3 linked regions of the Neurospora crassa OR74A genome follow. The protein of the gene in region 3 purifies or fractionates together with the protein of the main gene of each other region. This does not show direct contact. Links are inferred from orthologs where the notes say so. Each region holds a gene or a part of one and is shown on either strand. Other genes may lie near its edges. The genes, in order: scon-2, scon-3 and NCU01188.

What was found.
Region 1: the proteins of NCU01188 (region 3) and scon-2 purify together in Saccharomyces cerevisiae (affinity purification with mass spectrometry; 3 studies listed by BioGRID, with this or other methods). This does not show direct contact. The link is inferred for Neurospora crassa OR74A from reciprocal best matches to the Saccharomyces cerevisiae genes CDC34 and MET30.
Region 2: the proteins of NCU01188 (region 3) and scon-3 purify together in Saccharomyces cerevisiae (affinity purification with western blotting; 4 studies listed by BioGRID, with this or other methods). This does not show direct contact. The link is inferred for Neurospora crassa OR74A from reciprocal best matches to the Saccharomyces cerevisiae genes CDC34 and SKP1.

Annotation. Positions count from the first base shown.
Region 1 is NC_026503.1:4,896,989-4,901,071, reverse strand, and holds the start of scon-2 (sulfur controller-2 protein), read right to left. Parts: upstream 2,819-4,083; 5' UTR 2,298-2,818; intron 2,060-2,297; 5' UTR 1,348-2,059; coding exon 910-1,347; intron 824-909; coding exon 94-823; intron 34-93; coding exon 1-33. UniProt on the Saccharomyces cerevisiae protein: Substrate-recognition component of the SCF(Met30) complex, an E3 ubiquitin ligase complex that mediates the ubiquitination and subsequent proteasomal degradation of target proteins. Negatively regulates sulfur amino acids biosynthesis genes expression.
Region 2 is NC_026503.1:4,148,555-4,152,324, forward strand, and holds scon-3 (sulfur control-3 protein), read right to left. Parts: upstream 2,306-3,770; 5' UTR 2,099-2,305; exon of another isoform or gene 1,943-2,098; 5' UTR 1,934-1,942; coding exon 1,861-1,933; intron 1,780-1,860; coding exon 1,514-1,779; intron 1,416-1,513; coding exon 1,239-1,415; 3' UTR 577-1,238; downstream 1-576.
Region 3 is NC_026505.1:3,174,837-3,178,790, reverse strand, and holds NCU01188 (ubiquitin conjugating enzyme), read right to left. Parts: upstream 2,500-3,954; 5' UTR 2,001-2,499; coding exon 1,908-2,000; intron 1,772-1,907; coding exon 1,148-1,771; 3' UTR 541-1,147; downstream 1-540. Other genes in the region: cpc-3 protein, read right to left, coding at 3,898-3,954. UniProt on the Saccharomyces cerevisiae protein: Catalyzes the covalent attachment of ubiquitin to other proteins. Capable, in vitro, to ubiquitinate histone H2A. Mediates the initiation of DNA replication (transition of G1 to S phase in cell cycle).

The sequences.
Region 1 (4,083 bases), on a different chromosome or scaffold from region 3:
GGGTCCGAATGCACTCCTCAGTCTCAATGTTCCCTGTCAGCAATGTGTTAGTTTAAAGCGAGCACCAATGTTTAAAGAAGCAAGACCACATACAGATCTTGATAGTGGTGTCGTACGATCCAGTCGCAAGGATGTTATCATCGAGCTGGAGACATGTGACACCATTCTCATGACCCTTGAGAACCGACAACTTGTATCGGCTGTTTTTCCAGTTGTAGCTGACCTGCCAGCGATCCCGGTAGACGGCCTTCCAGCTTCGGGTCTTGGGTTGCGTTACCGCCTTGGAGGCTTCTGCTGCAGCCATACACTGGCGCTTCTTGATGGGGTCCTCTTCCTCCGCCTCTGCTGCCGGGCGCTTTCCATGTTGATTGACGGATCGATCCTGGCTGTCGTGGGAGTCGGCCAGTTCTGTGACCCTCCCTTGTGGCCCACCCTTGGCCAGCTGTCTTTGTCTGGTGTAGTTGCGCAGCTTCTTGCGTTCCAGCAAGGGCAATCCCCATCCACACTTTGTGCACTTCCTGTTGACGTGTTGCTCGCACATGCGGACCCAGACGGCATCCGAGTCGGCCAGGGTTCGCCACCTCTGGCTGACCTGGGCGGCCTTGGTCAAGCTGACGGTGTCGAGATAGCATAAGACCTTTTGGGCGAGCTCGACGGGGAGGGCGGAGATGAAGTCGATCTTGAGGGCTTCGTTGACTTCTCTCGAGACGAAGGAGAGCTGGGGGAAGCAGAGCTGGGAGAGGATACCCTGAAGCATCAGGTCGCGATGTCGGGCAGGGGCGGCCGAGAACAGGGACCACACGTGGGTCACAGCTTGCTGATCCTATTATTTCAAGCAAGGTACCAGTCAGTCCACCAAACCTTGGAGACAAGAAGCAATCAATGTTTATGTTTTGTATGAAGACCCACCGCTGATGTGAGCTTGTCTAGCTCGCTCTGAATCATGACCATCTTGGCCTTGTCGGCAGCCCTTCGGCACTTTGAGTCGGGGTGGTGTCTATAGCAGTACTTGGAATTGGGGTTCTCTGCTCTGGCCGTCTCTTGGTTCCCCGGCTTGCCGATGGGGGCGTAGATGCTGGGAATGTGTTCCCGAAGGAAAGGCGTGACAGTCTTGCTCATGAGGACGGACGACATGTTGGTGACGCTGTTGCGGGAGCGCAACCTTGCCTGTTGCTCGGGTCGTTTGCGGTCGCAGTTTTGGTCGGTGGGATCGGAGTCGGTGTCGCGCGAGTGGTTGTTATGGTGATGAGAGTAGGAGTTCACTAGAGGCCCATGTTGGAGCGGGGCGTCATTATCATGTCCGAAGCTCGCAGTCGGACGAGACGGGGCGAGGTGGTAGGAATCCATTGGGAGAAGGGGGAGTCGAGGACCGCCGGGCCCAGAATGACGCTGCGATTGTGCGTTCTGAGGGGGAATTTAGAGTGCGTTTGCGGTTGCGTGGTTCTGTTGTTGAATGGCGGAAGAGGCAACACCAAGCATTGGTCGGCTAGAGGGCGATGGATGGCGTGCTGACCAGGGGACGCAGATTGCTGCTGTATGTATCGCAGTGCTGTCCTGTACACTACTGTCCTGCCTGTCCAGTCCTGTCCAGTCCAAGGTATGTACTAGTAGTAGGTACTCCCGTCGGTCAGGCTGGGGCGGGAAAGGGTATGTGGTCTTGCGTGATCGGGCTGGTTGATGTGAGGTGTATGGATGGATGCCCTGGTGTGGTCGATGTTTGGGCGGTCTACCGTCTCAAAGGTCCAATCTCGTTAATGCGGAATCCAGACTCGCTCCACCGTTGGGCAGGTCTAGATGAAGCTGGAGGAGGAGCAGAAGGAAGGCAGGGTCCCGCAGACAACAAACAGCAGCGATGTGATGCCGGGCAGCCCAACTGGCGATCTTGATGTTTCTGGATGGATGGACACGTGATGGGATCTGGATGTTGTTGGCGGAGGATTGGAGATGGAGCCCCGGGGAGGGAGGAGGACTGGAGGCGATCAGGAAGAGCTCAGCTGAGATGAAAGAGGGACCGTTGAAGGATTGATTCCCTGCCGTGGAGGTGGGCACGTTGTTGGACCTGTTGTTATTGGTGCGGTGTAAGTGTTAGTGCACTCTTATCTGGTGCAGCGCAGTATAGCTGCAGTTTGGAGGGCAATCACGTTAAGGAGGAATCGATGTCTGTTGGAGGATGACCTAGGACGGGAGCAGCGAGGATGTGGACGGGACAAGGTGGCACCTCACGCAATGCACAGCACCTTGGTCGCCATCGATCCGAGTCAAAGTGTTTAAAGGGTCTTTTTTGGTGGTTTACGTACTGTGATGATGATGACCGCTGCTGACCTATTTCCAGGTTCACTTGTTCCACTTCTGTTGTCCAAGTGGAATGTCTCAAACTTCTAGTCTCTCCGGCTTTCGGTGCCTTGCTGTCTCTTCCTTTCAGTCTGGGCAGCTAGTAGGTATGTGACTGCTCTCTTGCTCTTTGAAGGAAGCTACTGTAGGTGTCGGGTACGAGTGCCCGTGCTCCCTCTTTGTACAGTAGCGTAGAGGTAGGTATGTAACCGAATACCAGGTAAGTGACAGCTCTGGAACGGCTGTCGCCTGTCGGTGACGGATGGAATGGATGAGGTATACTACCTTAGAGAGAGCACTCTTTCCAAAATGGCAAAGTGGAAGTCTCGGGCAGTATCGCAACGGGGTGTTGAACCTCAGCTGTTGCTTCACACCGCCTGAAATCGGATGTGTCTTGACTTCGTTGCTCCTTCTCTCTGTGTGTGTGTGACTGTGAAATGTTGCAGACGGAAAGAGACAAGATTGGCCGTCGCTCTTGATCGCAAAGAGAAGGGCAAAATGGCGAAATCAACTGGGGTGGGGCGCGGGAAGCTCCCAGGTACAGAGTGGAGTCACCCATCCTCGTTTTTTTCGCTTTGTTGCTTTGTCGCCAGAATTGCGACATCACCGGGCCCACTGTAAAATGCGGGGATGTACTGGCTGTTATACTCTATGCAAAGCAGTACAGCAAGTATCTAACAGTCAAGACTCCGTAGCTCAATTCAATGATGCCAGTGCCAGTCACGTGCCATAGCCAGGTCCCTAATTGGAGGTTCAGCATCAACACCACGACACATGTCTCACGATTATTAAAACAAAATAAGCAGACTGTTGTTTCGCCACCAAGTGCATGGATTTCTAATATGGCGACTTTGAATTTTATCAACTTTCTCTCTTTTCCTCTGTCAACCTGACCACAGCATGCCTCCCGTCGTCGTCTTGAATCACTCGACCGTCTCAGCTTGACTGACCTTGGAGCGGCTTCATGTCGTCGACAGGAAGGACTCCGAAGACGGACATCAACGTCACTGCGGCCACAGTCCCCAGAGACCACACAATCCCAATCGCACTGTTGACGACAGCTTGATGTGGAGCGTCGTCTCCATTTAACCCAACTTGAATGGACGCTATCTACATATCCCGTCCTTCCCGTCTCCCCCGTGCATGTCAACATCCCATCCAGGCACCATGTCGTGATATCCACCCGATAAACATCGTGAGACAGTCCGGGCCGTGGTCAGCGGCACGGACATTTCCATTCTGGCTTCAATCTCGACCTCGGTGTTCTCGGAATAGCATCTTCTGCCTCTTTCCATCATGTTGACCCACGACAAGGTTGCTTTCCTGGGGAATTTTGCGGGGTGACCAAGTCTGGCTTCCGTTTTCATCATGATGGAAGCTTTCCAGACATTCGAGGGGTTTTAAAAGGCCTAAGCCCATGTCGGCTTGTGGATGTCGAAACAGGCTGACGGAGCTCCAGGGATAATATCTAGCCATGCCTGATAAGCACTGTAAGTTCAGACCTTGTATCAATGTACTCTAAATCTCTCCCTCCGTGATGCAAACAATTCTGGTGCTGTGTTTTCTCGTCGCAATGTCTCGATAAACGCACGTCGAGCTACACCAAAGACATCATTCTATATCAGCTACACACCACGCTTGTCTTGGATATGATGGCACACGTTTTGGGACAAGATACCTTGACCACCATAACTTCCCATCATCTTCTTGTGACGAAACATTTCACTGATAAACATCTGACCACAGCGTAGA
Region 2 (3,770 bases), on a different chromosome or scaffold from region 3:
CTGGCTCGGCGGCGGTCGGTTCTCAGCTGTGTTCTTTCGGCGGGGGGAAATATCCTGGAACTCGATCCTTGTTTTGGGGGAACGTAAACTTTCGGAGTACTATGCTTTCACGGCAAACATTTAGAAGGACGGTTACTGGGGGAATTAGGATCTGAAATGAGAGAAAACGTGGTGCACGAGAGTTGATTCCCATATTTGTTCTACCCATGTTCTCGGAACTGTGCTACAAAATCGGTCTATGTACCATGTCGTGTGCGCATTATATCAAGGTCTGTGACACCGAGGGGGCTTGATCAAAAGACGTGGGCAATGTCCAAATCAGCCCGCCTACGTTCCATCAACGACTTCTGTACCCTTGGCTTGTATAAAGCGAGTAAAAATGAGCCATGATATACAACTTGGGTAAGCTCCCTCCTAGTCTCTCTGCAATCTGGACCATTAGTATGTTGTTTGTGTGCATGGGCAACTCCATGCCATCCTTGCGCCTGGCCATGGTTGAGTTCAAAACGCCAAATTGTCAGTGAAAAGGGCGGTTTCTGTACCTACCTGTTTTACCGGGAGCGCTCTAGCATGGAACAATGGAGGGTAGTGTGGATGTTGGCTGACTTTTCTTTCCCCTACTCTAAGGCCCATTTCTTCCTGGTGACTCCGCGCCTTGAACCATGAATAGCTGCCACGAAACAGAGGGTCGTTGTTGCTATCATTAGACTACAGTTCACATGATGGGCGTATTAAGCGAATACGAGGTGCCAATATGTAGAGTATGTTGGTGGTAAAGGGGGCCATCATGGCAACAACACGGAACAGAATCGTGACGACGTTGTCGGCCTTTACGGTGAGGACGTTCTCAGACACGTAAGGACCTGATTCACAAACTGTATCATCATAAGAAAACCCTCGATTCAGCCTAAGAAAACAAGGAGCCGTAGAAAAAAGCTAGAGAACAACGCCTCTAAACGCCTGCCAACGCAAAGGTACGATCGAACGTACTGAGTGGAAGAGCTTCGTTTGTGGCCCTCCCAGGAATGCCCAAACCGTATCACGTCGTCGTCGAAATGCTGTCGATAACACGAGATGTGTTTGATATCCATCTCCCAACATAACAGCTCTCCCCATATCCATCAAACTCGGCTAAAGTGTGCGTTCCGGTAGACGAAGCACAGGGGTAACCTCTGTCGTTGGCAGACGGTGATCCCGGCGTTGCAAAGTGACTTGACGTGGAAACTGGTCTTGATCGGCTAACGGTCTTCCGCCCATTCGTTCTCGCGGCGAATCTGCTCCTCCTCCTCTGGAGTGAAATCATTTGTGATATTGAACGTCTTTCGAATCTCCTCAGGGGACTTGCCCTTGATCATGTTGGCAACGGTCTTGCATCCAACATCAAGGAGGGGCTTGATGTCCATGTAGTTGGCAGCCTGGATGAGGAATATGTTAGCATGATCTGACCCTGCAGAACCCGAGTGATGTTTGCATATCAAGTAGCATCGGCGGGTAGAACGAGGGAGAAACCTACGAGAATGATCTCGAAGAGCATCTCCTGGTCAACCTGCATGAACTTCTGGTCCCATTCGTCGATCTCCGTGCTCTTCTTACGGCTGTCGTTCTCGTCCTCGGTAGTCTGGGGCGGGTCCTTGCGGTGGTGCTCGCACCACTCGACAACCTTTCGGAGGACAGGCTCGTTGACGTTTGGTAGGGGAATAGCCTCGTTCATAACAGCCTCGTCGCCCAAATCCTCAATCAGGTTCTTGATGAGAAGGGATCGCTCGGCAACAACACGATCTGTGTTTGACGCCAGTTAGTCGGCTGCAGTCGCAGGGAAAGAAAAGGAGACAGGCCGGGTGGCGGGGTGATTCTACTCACCGACGGTGATGATTTGGCCATCGTTGCTCTGGAGAGATACCTTCTGGAGGGCACGTTCGTCGTTCTCCGCCATGTTGAATGTCTGTAGTCGTAGTCTTGACGTTAGAAGATACGTCGATGGATGTTGATGGGTTGAGTTGGCTGTCTATGTGATTGATGCTGGTGGTGTAAATGATGCAGAGAGGGGATAGTTCAATTGTGGGGGAAAAAGTGGGAGACGGTGTTGTCATATAGTTACCTGTTTGCGCAAATTCAAGCTCAAATGTAAAAGTGACCTTGCTCTGAGTTGCAGGAGGTTTGGCAATAATGAGAGAAGGAACGCACGCGGTGTGATTAACTGGCTGCAGTGCGTGGTTCTTATGGTTTCCCCGTGAAAGGTTGCCTGTAGTTTGCTTGGGCTAGTGATGAAAGTACAGACGGAGGTCCGCGTGAGTGCCCGTTGGCGGGCGCAGTCGGTCCTTCCAACAAACGAATCGCCTCTGCCTTCATTTTGTGGAGCCCGCTGCACGCAGTCCAATTGCGCGCACGTAAAGTGCGTGCATAGACCACCTAGCAATCCTGGCGCGGCCCCTCAGCTCGTCAGCCTTCTTGGGTTGAAATATAATGGGGTTGGGTGGTCAGTGCCCAGGCCCTGCCTGGAGAGACGGATGGACTTGCTCCAACACGGAAGACGCAGAAACGCTCTGGAGAGAGAACCTGACCGTTCACGTGCCGTTCCATGTACTAACCTTTGGCACCACGCAGCTCCCATCAACGGAACGATGGGACATTTGCACACCAGTGATTAGATGTAGTATTTTGAGTCACGAAGAGACGATGTGGGGACCGTCGTTGGCGTGATCTGGGGACATTCGAAGCTACAGATGTCTTCATGCTTGCAATATACACAAAGCATTGCATTGGATAGTAAAAATAATCAAAGACCGGCACATTCCACGTACACACGAATTAGGTTCATTGACAGCTGACTACATGCGGTTTCCCACACGGGGACTATGCGTTTTTCCAGATGCTTTATATTCACTATGTATGTTCCGGCTTAGGATGATACGCCCGCACGCCCGGTAGATTTTACCCACGCTTGTAAGTTGGATGTCGGGATGTCAATAGCTTCAGTTGGAAAAGCTCCTAGATGAAGTATATACATGATGGACAACTACATAATGGTACCCAAAATTGTCCTCTGCTACTCTGGCTTTTGTTGCTATCTTGCATCATTGATACGGATTGTCAAGTAAAGGAATGCAGCTTGAATGTGACAAAAGCTGCGGTACCTCCCGTCCAACGAGCACAGAAAATCAAACTTCCGTGGGAGGAAGGACAAGGGGTCAACATGAGGGCCTATCAATATTCAAGGCCGCTTTGCTGGAGATTTATTTCACACTAACAGACCAGGACATCTTTTGCTTACCATCTGTCCGTATCGCAGTATGATGTACATTCAGATCACGAAGGCGAAATGTCAAGATTCCAAAGCTGTGTCCCGGCGCGAATATAGGTACAAATAAAGCTGTACATACATACTATGTAACTCGTCATTCATCCATGGTCCGGCTCGCGCAGATCGACCAGTTGCTGCACCCGTGCGGGAGGAAATTACCAAAGTACCTAGACTCGCGCCAACGACGCCAACGAGCCTGCCGACTGGCCCGAATGCGGAGGCGGGCTATAGACAGACTACCCCTTCTCCCTATATCTAGACTACTTAACCACTTAGGGCATGGTTCTAAGGCATCTGATCTATATTCCCATTTGCTAACATCCTACAGTCAGAACTAGGCCAAAGTCTGTTAACCACAGCCGGTCATTTTCGAAAATTCTTCCAAGAAATAGTTGGTCACCTTTCTAGTCATAAGGCGATGCACTTTCACCATATACACTCCCTCCAAAAGAAAAAAAAAAAAAAAGAT
Region 3 (3,954 bases):
CGGGGCAGGAGACGTTTGGAATGTACTATTTCTTGGCGTTTGTCGAGCTACTTTGCTGGCTTTAAGAGCGAAAAGGATGAAGTGGGCGAAGGATAGCCCTGCTTTTACTTTTTGTTGTTATTGTTGTTGTTGCTGTTTGGACGAAGACAGGGCGAACGAGATGATGGGAAGCCAGATTGGGATGTTGTTTGCCTTTACGTTGTCAGACAATGAAATGCAAGAGCTGCTTGATGAGGTACCCGAGCCCTGTACGTACTATGTACAGTAGGTACACAAACAAGGCGGCAGGGGCAGCTTTTGATTGATGGCAAAAACTGCGGGGAATGGGGGGAAAGGTATTGAGGCACTCCGTTAGGTTTTGGCTGAGGGCCGGGGTAAACGTGGACGATGACAACAAAAGCCAAAGAAGAGATGCATCATGATGATCTTGGAGCGTCGGGCAGGTATCCTTCGGTTTCTCATCGGTTTCGGCCTGCTCACAAATTTCACTTGCTGTACAGAAATGGGTATCTCATGAGGGGATGATGGAGGGGCTTCGGAGGTCAACTGCTCGGTCGCTGAGGGGACATCCCCAAGGCCCGGGCCCCTCTTCACTGTTATGTGTCAAGGGACGGAGGTCTTGGGCTCTGACATCGTGCACGGGCTCCAGACGGGCTATTCGGCTCTCTGAACTCAGCGATGCCATCGCGGGGCTACATCCGCTCATCGCTCCATGAAAACGAAAGTTGAGTCTATAGCTCTAGTCTAGACGTTTCCGCTAAATGTATTCTATGTTACTATGAAGCCAGACCGCTTCCCGTCTTTGCCAATGTCTTCCGCTGTGCAAGAACATTGTGGCTGAGGATAGGCAAGTACTTGGGTGACGGTGTGTCTCTGTATGTAAAAAAAAAAAAGAAAAAAAAAAAGCGACCAATGAAATTCCCACCAGATATGCCTGCTTGGGAGACCACGAAAACGCCCAAACACACCGCGAGTGTCCCCGACGCTATGCAAATATGACGGGTTGAAGCAGAACAAGAATAAGAAAGAGAAAGGTATATCATCACCATCCTGACCCGAACCAGACCCAGCCCAGCTTGACAACGGCGATAAAAACGGTTGCTGCTGCTGTTGAAGGAACAACAAGCAAGTAAGCAAGCAAGTCCTTCTATTGCTTGGAGTTGGAATCGTCGTCGTCATCCTCGCTCCCTTCCTCCCCGTCCTCAAAGTCCTCCATCTCGTCGTCATCCCCGGTGTCACTACCACCAAAGTCAAACTCCTCATCCGACTCGGCCCAAAAATCGTCGTCGTTCTCGGCCTTCGGAGGCGGCTTTTCCTCAAAGCTGACCGGCATCTCGAATCCTGGCGGGATATCCTTCTTTGATCTCTCCACCGTTTCCCGGGCCTTCTTGTTGTAATCCTCTCGGCGGTCGCGGTACATGACGCCCGCGTCCACGTTGGCGGGGCTATTGATTTCAGGGTCGTCCAGCAGCAACAGAACCGACCTCAGCACACTCTCGGCGCCCTGGAGCGGCGACCAACGCTCGCTAGCCTGCTCGCCAGACATGAGGTCCTCGCCGGGTGTGTGCAGGATCGAGATGCAGAGCTGGCCGTCCGGATACACATTGGGGTGGGTGATGGGGATCAGGAAGCGGAACTTGGGCGGCTGGTAGGGGTATTCGTCCGAAAATACCATCTCGGCCCTGAAGTACCCCCCGTTAAAGGCGCTGTCGGGGTTGATGACCATGAGGCCGAAGCGCCACTTGAGGATGTTGAGGGTCGCAGAATCGTCCTGTTTGCGCCAAAGAAGTGAGGGTCAGTCTAGGTTCCGTAGTGAAGGTATAGTGATACTAGAATCGACGTGCCGGTACTGCGCCCGCGAACGACAGACCGGCAAAGGAGAAAAAACGAACGGTACTAGGACGTACATCTTCAAAGTGAATCCACTTCTCCTTTCGTAGCGCCTTCATCTCACTCATCAGGCGCGTTGTAGCGCCCGACGCTGTTGTCCTGTACGACATGGCAAAATGTGGTTACGGAAGTGAAGGCGAGGTGCCGGTGGCGGAGGTTGACAAAAGAAAGAATGGGCTGCCGCTGGAAAAGCCCACTTTACTTCGTTGGTGGTGGCGGTGGTGGTGAAGTAGATATGTTGTGGTGGCTCGTCAAGGGATCGACACGTAAAGTGCTGACGAAGATCCCTCTCGTGCGCAAGATCGGGGGCCTCGAGAGGAAAATGGTGGTATTTGTAGTTTGAGGGGATGTTGGCAAGAGGCGGGCGGGTGTTTGGGGAAGATTGTTAGACGGTCGGTGGTGAAGGCCGGGGTGGGTATTGATCTTTTGAAGAGGGATGGAATGATAACGATAACCAAACAATGGGAACAGACTCTATGGAAGCACGGACGGTCGGGATAGAAGTTCACGGTTTGTCACGATGGTGGTCTTTGGGAAGTGGGTTGGAAATCAAGGGCTGGGCGGTGACAATCTGGAACAATAGAGAGGTTGCGAGTCAGGAGAAAGCAGGGTCAGACGGGAGGAAAAGTGGAAGGGCGTACGAACGTCACAACCGGATCAGGAAAAGGTGTGTGAACTACACTACTACGATGTGAGCGATGGAATCATGGCAGGGTCACGCTTCCCTTGGGTTCCTCGGAGCGAGGACCCGGATAGAAGGTTGGGCAGTCTCTAGCACGCACTCTCAACTTAACCTAAGTCTACACGAAGCAACCGACCCAGACCATTTGTGATGGTCCCGTCATTGCCCAACTTCCTTCTCCCATGGTGGTGCAGCAGCCGAGCTGAGCGAGGCACTGAGGAATCCTAACAACTGCATGTCTCGCCTTACGTTTGTTAATGGTGGTCAACACCGCTGCACAATGGCGGTCTCGGGCTCTCGGCATAGGTACCTACCTCTACATAAGACCAATACACCTGACAGGAGTATCGTCAAAGGAGGGAGGCCGTAATCCCCGCCCTTCCATATTATCGTATTGTAATTGCCCGTCAACCTTTACAAAGCAGGCGGAACCTCCCAGAACGGCCTTTTTTTTTTTTTTTTTCTCTGGCAAAGGGGGGGCCCATCAGACAATCATGTACAATCTACCCGCAAGGAGACGGGACGACACGACGGTGCAGTTCCTTTGCCACTGACAAATGAGCATCCCATGGTGATAGGGCATATTGGTGGTGGTCAGAATTGCAGTTATCGGATGTTTCAGAGGATGCACTAACAATTTCCCAAGTACACTAGATCCCGTCACGGTCCACTGAAGCTACAAAGAAGTGACGCAGTTCCATGTTGTCCTGTTGACTGCCCAGACAACAAATGATCGATGCCTTAAATCGAATCCACATTCGCATCTGTTTCCAAGCATCATATACCCGTCATTCACAACACTTTGCTGTAAATAAGAGTAGGTACAGGTAACGTGTTGCCCAACATGAGGGAAGAAGATGGATCGATTCGTTTGCATACTGGCAGCGGTTCCCATTTTCTCGTAAACCATGGATGGGAAACGTCCGTGCCAGGCAGTTAGAAGATCCGGTGGGTAACAGTAGGCAAGGACCTTGATGGTCAGTTCCTCCGCAATCGGTCTTCTTCCTGGCTTCTTGTGTGCGAACGAACTTCTTGTTGGCCAGCAGGGTGATCTTCCCGTAGTGAGATGGTTGGGCGTTTCACTTGTGACAGAAGGGTTAGGGTTCTGTATAGGAGGCTGACTCAGGTTGAGTTGGTGTTTCAGGGGATCACCATAGACGAAAAGCAAGAGGAACATCGGACGATTTGAAAGAGCAGTGATGCCTTCGGGTGGGATTACTAGCCTTACAACTGTATACCTATTATACACACATCCAACCCACCATCGCCAACGTATCCTACCCAGCTAGGCACCTCCCCAGGGCTTCAATACCCTGCCGACCCGATCAAGCCGACAAGTCGTAATAGATGCACCTCCCCGTCCTGAAATTATACACAAACGC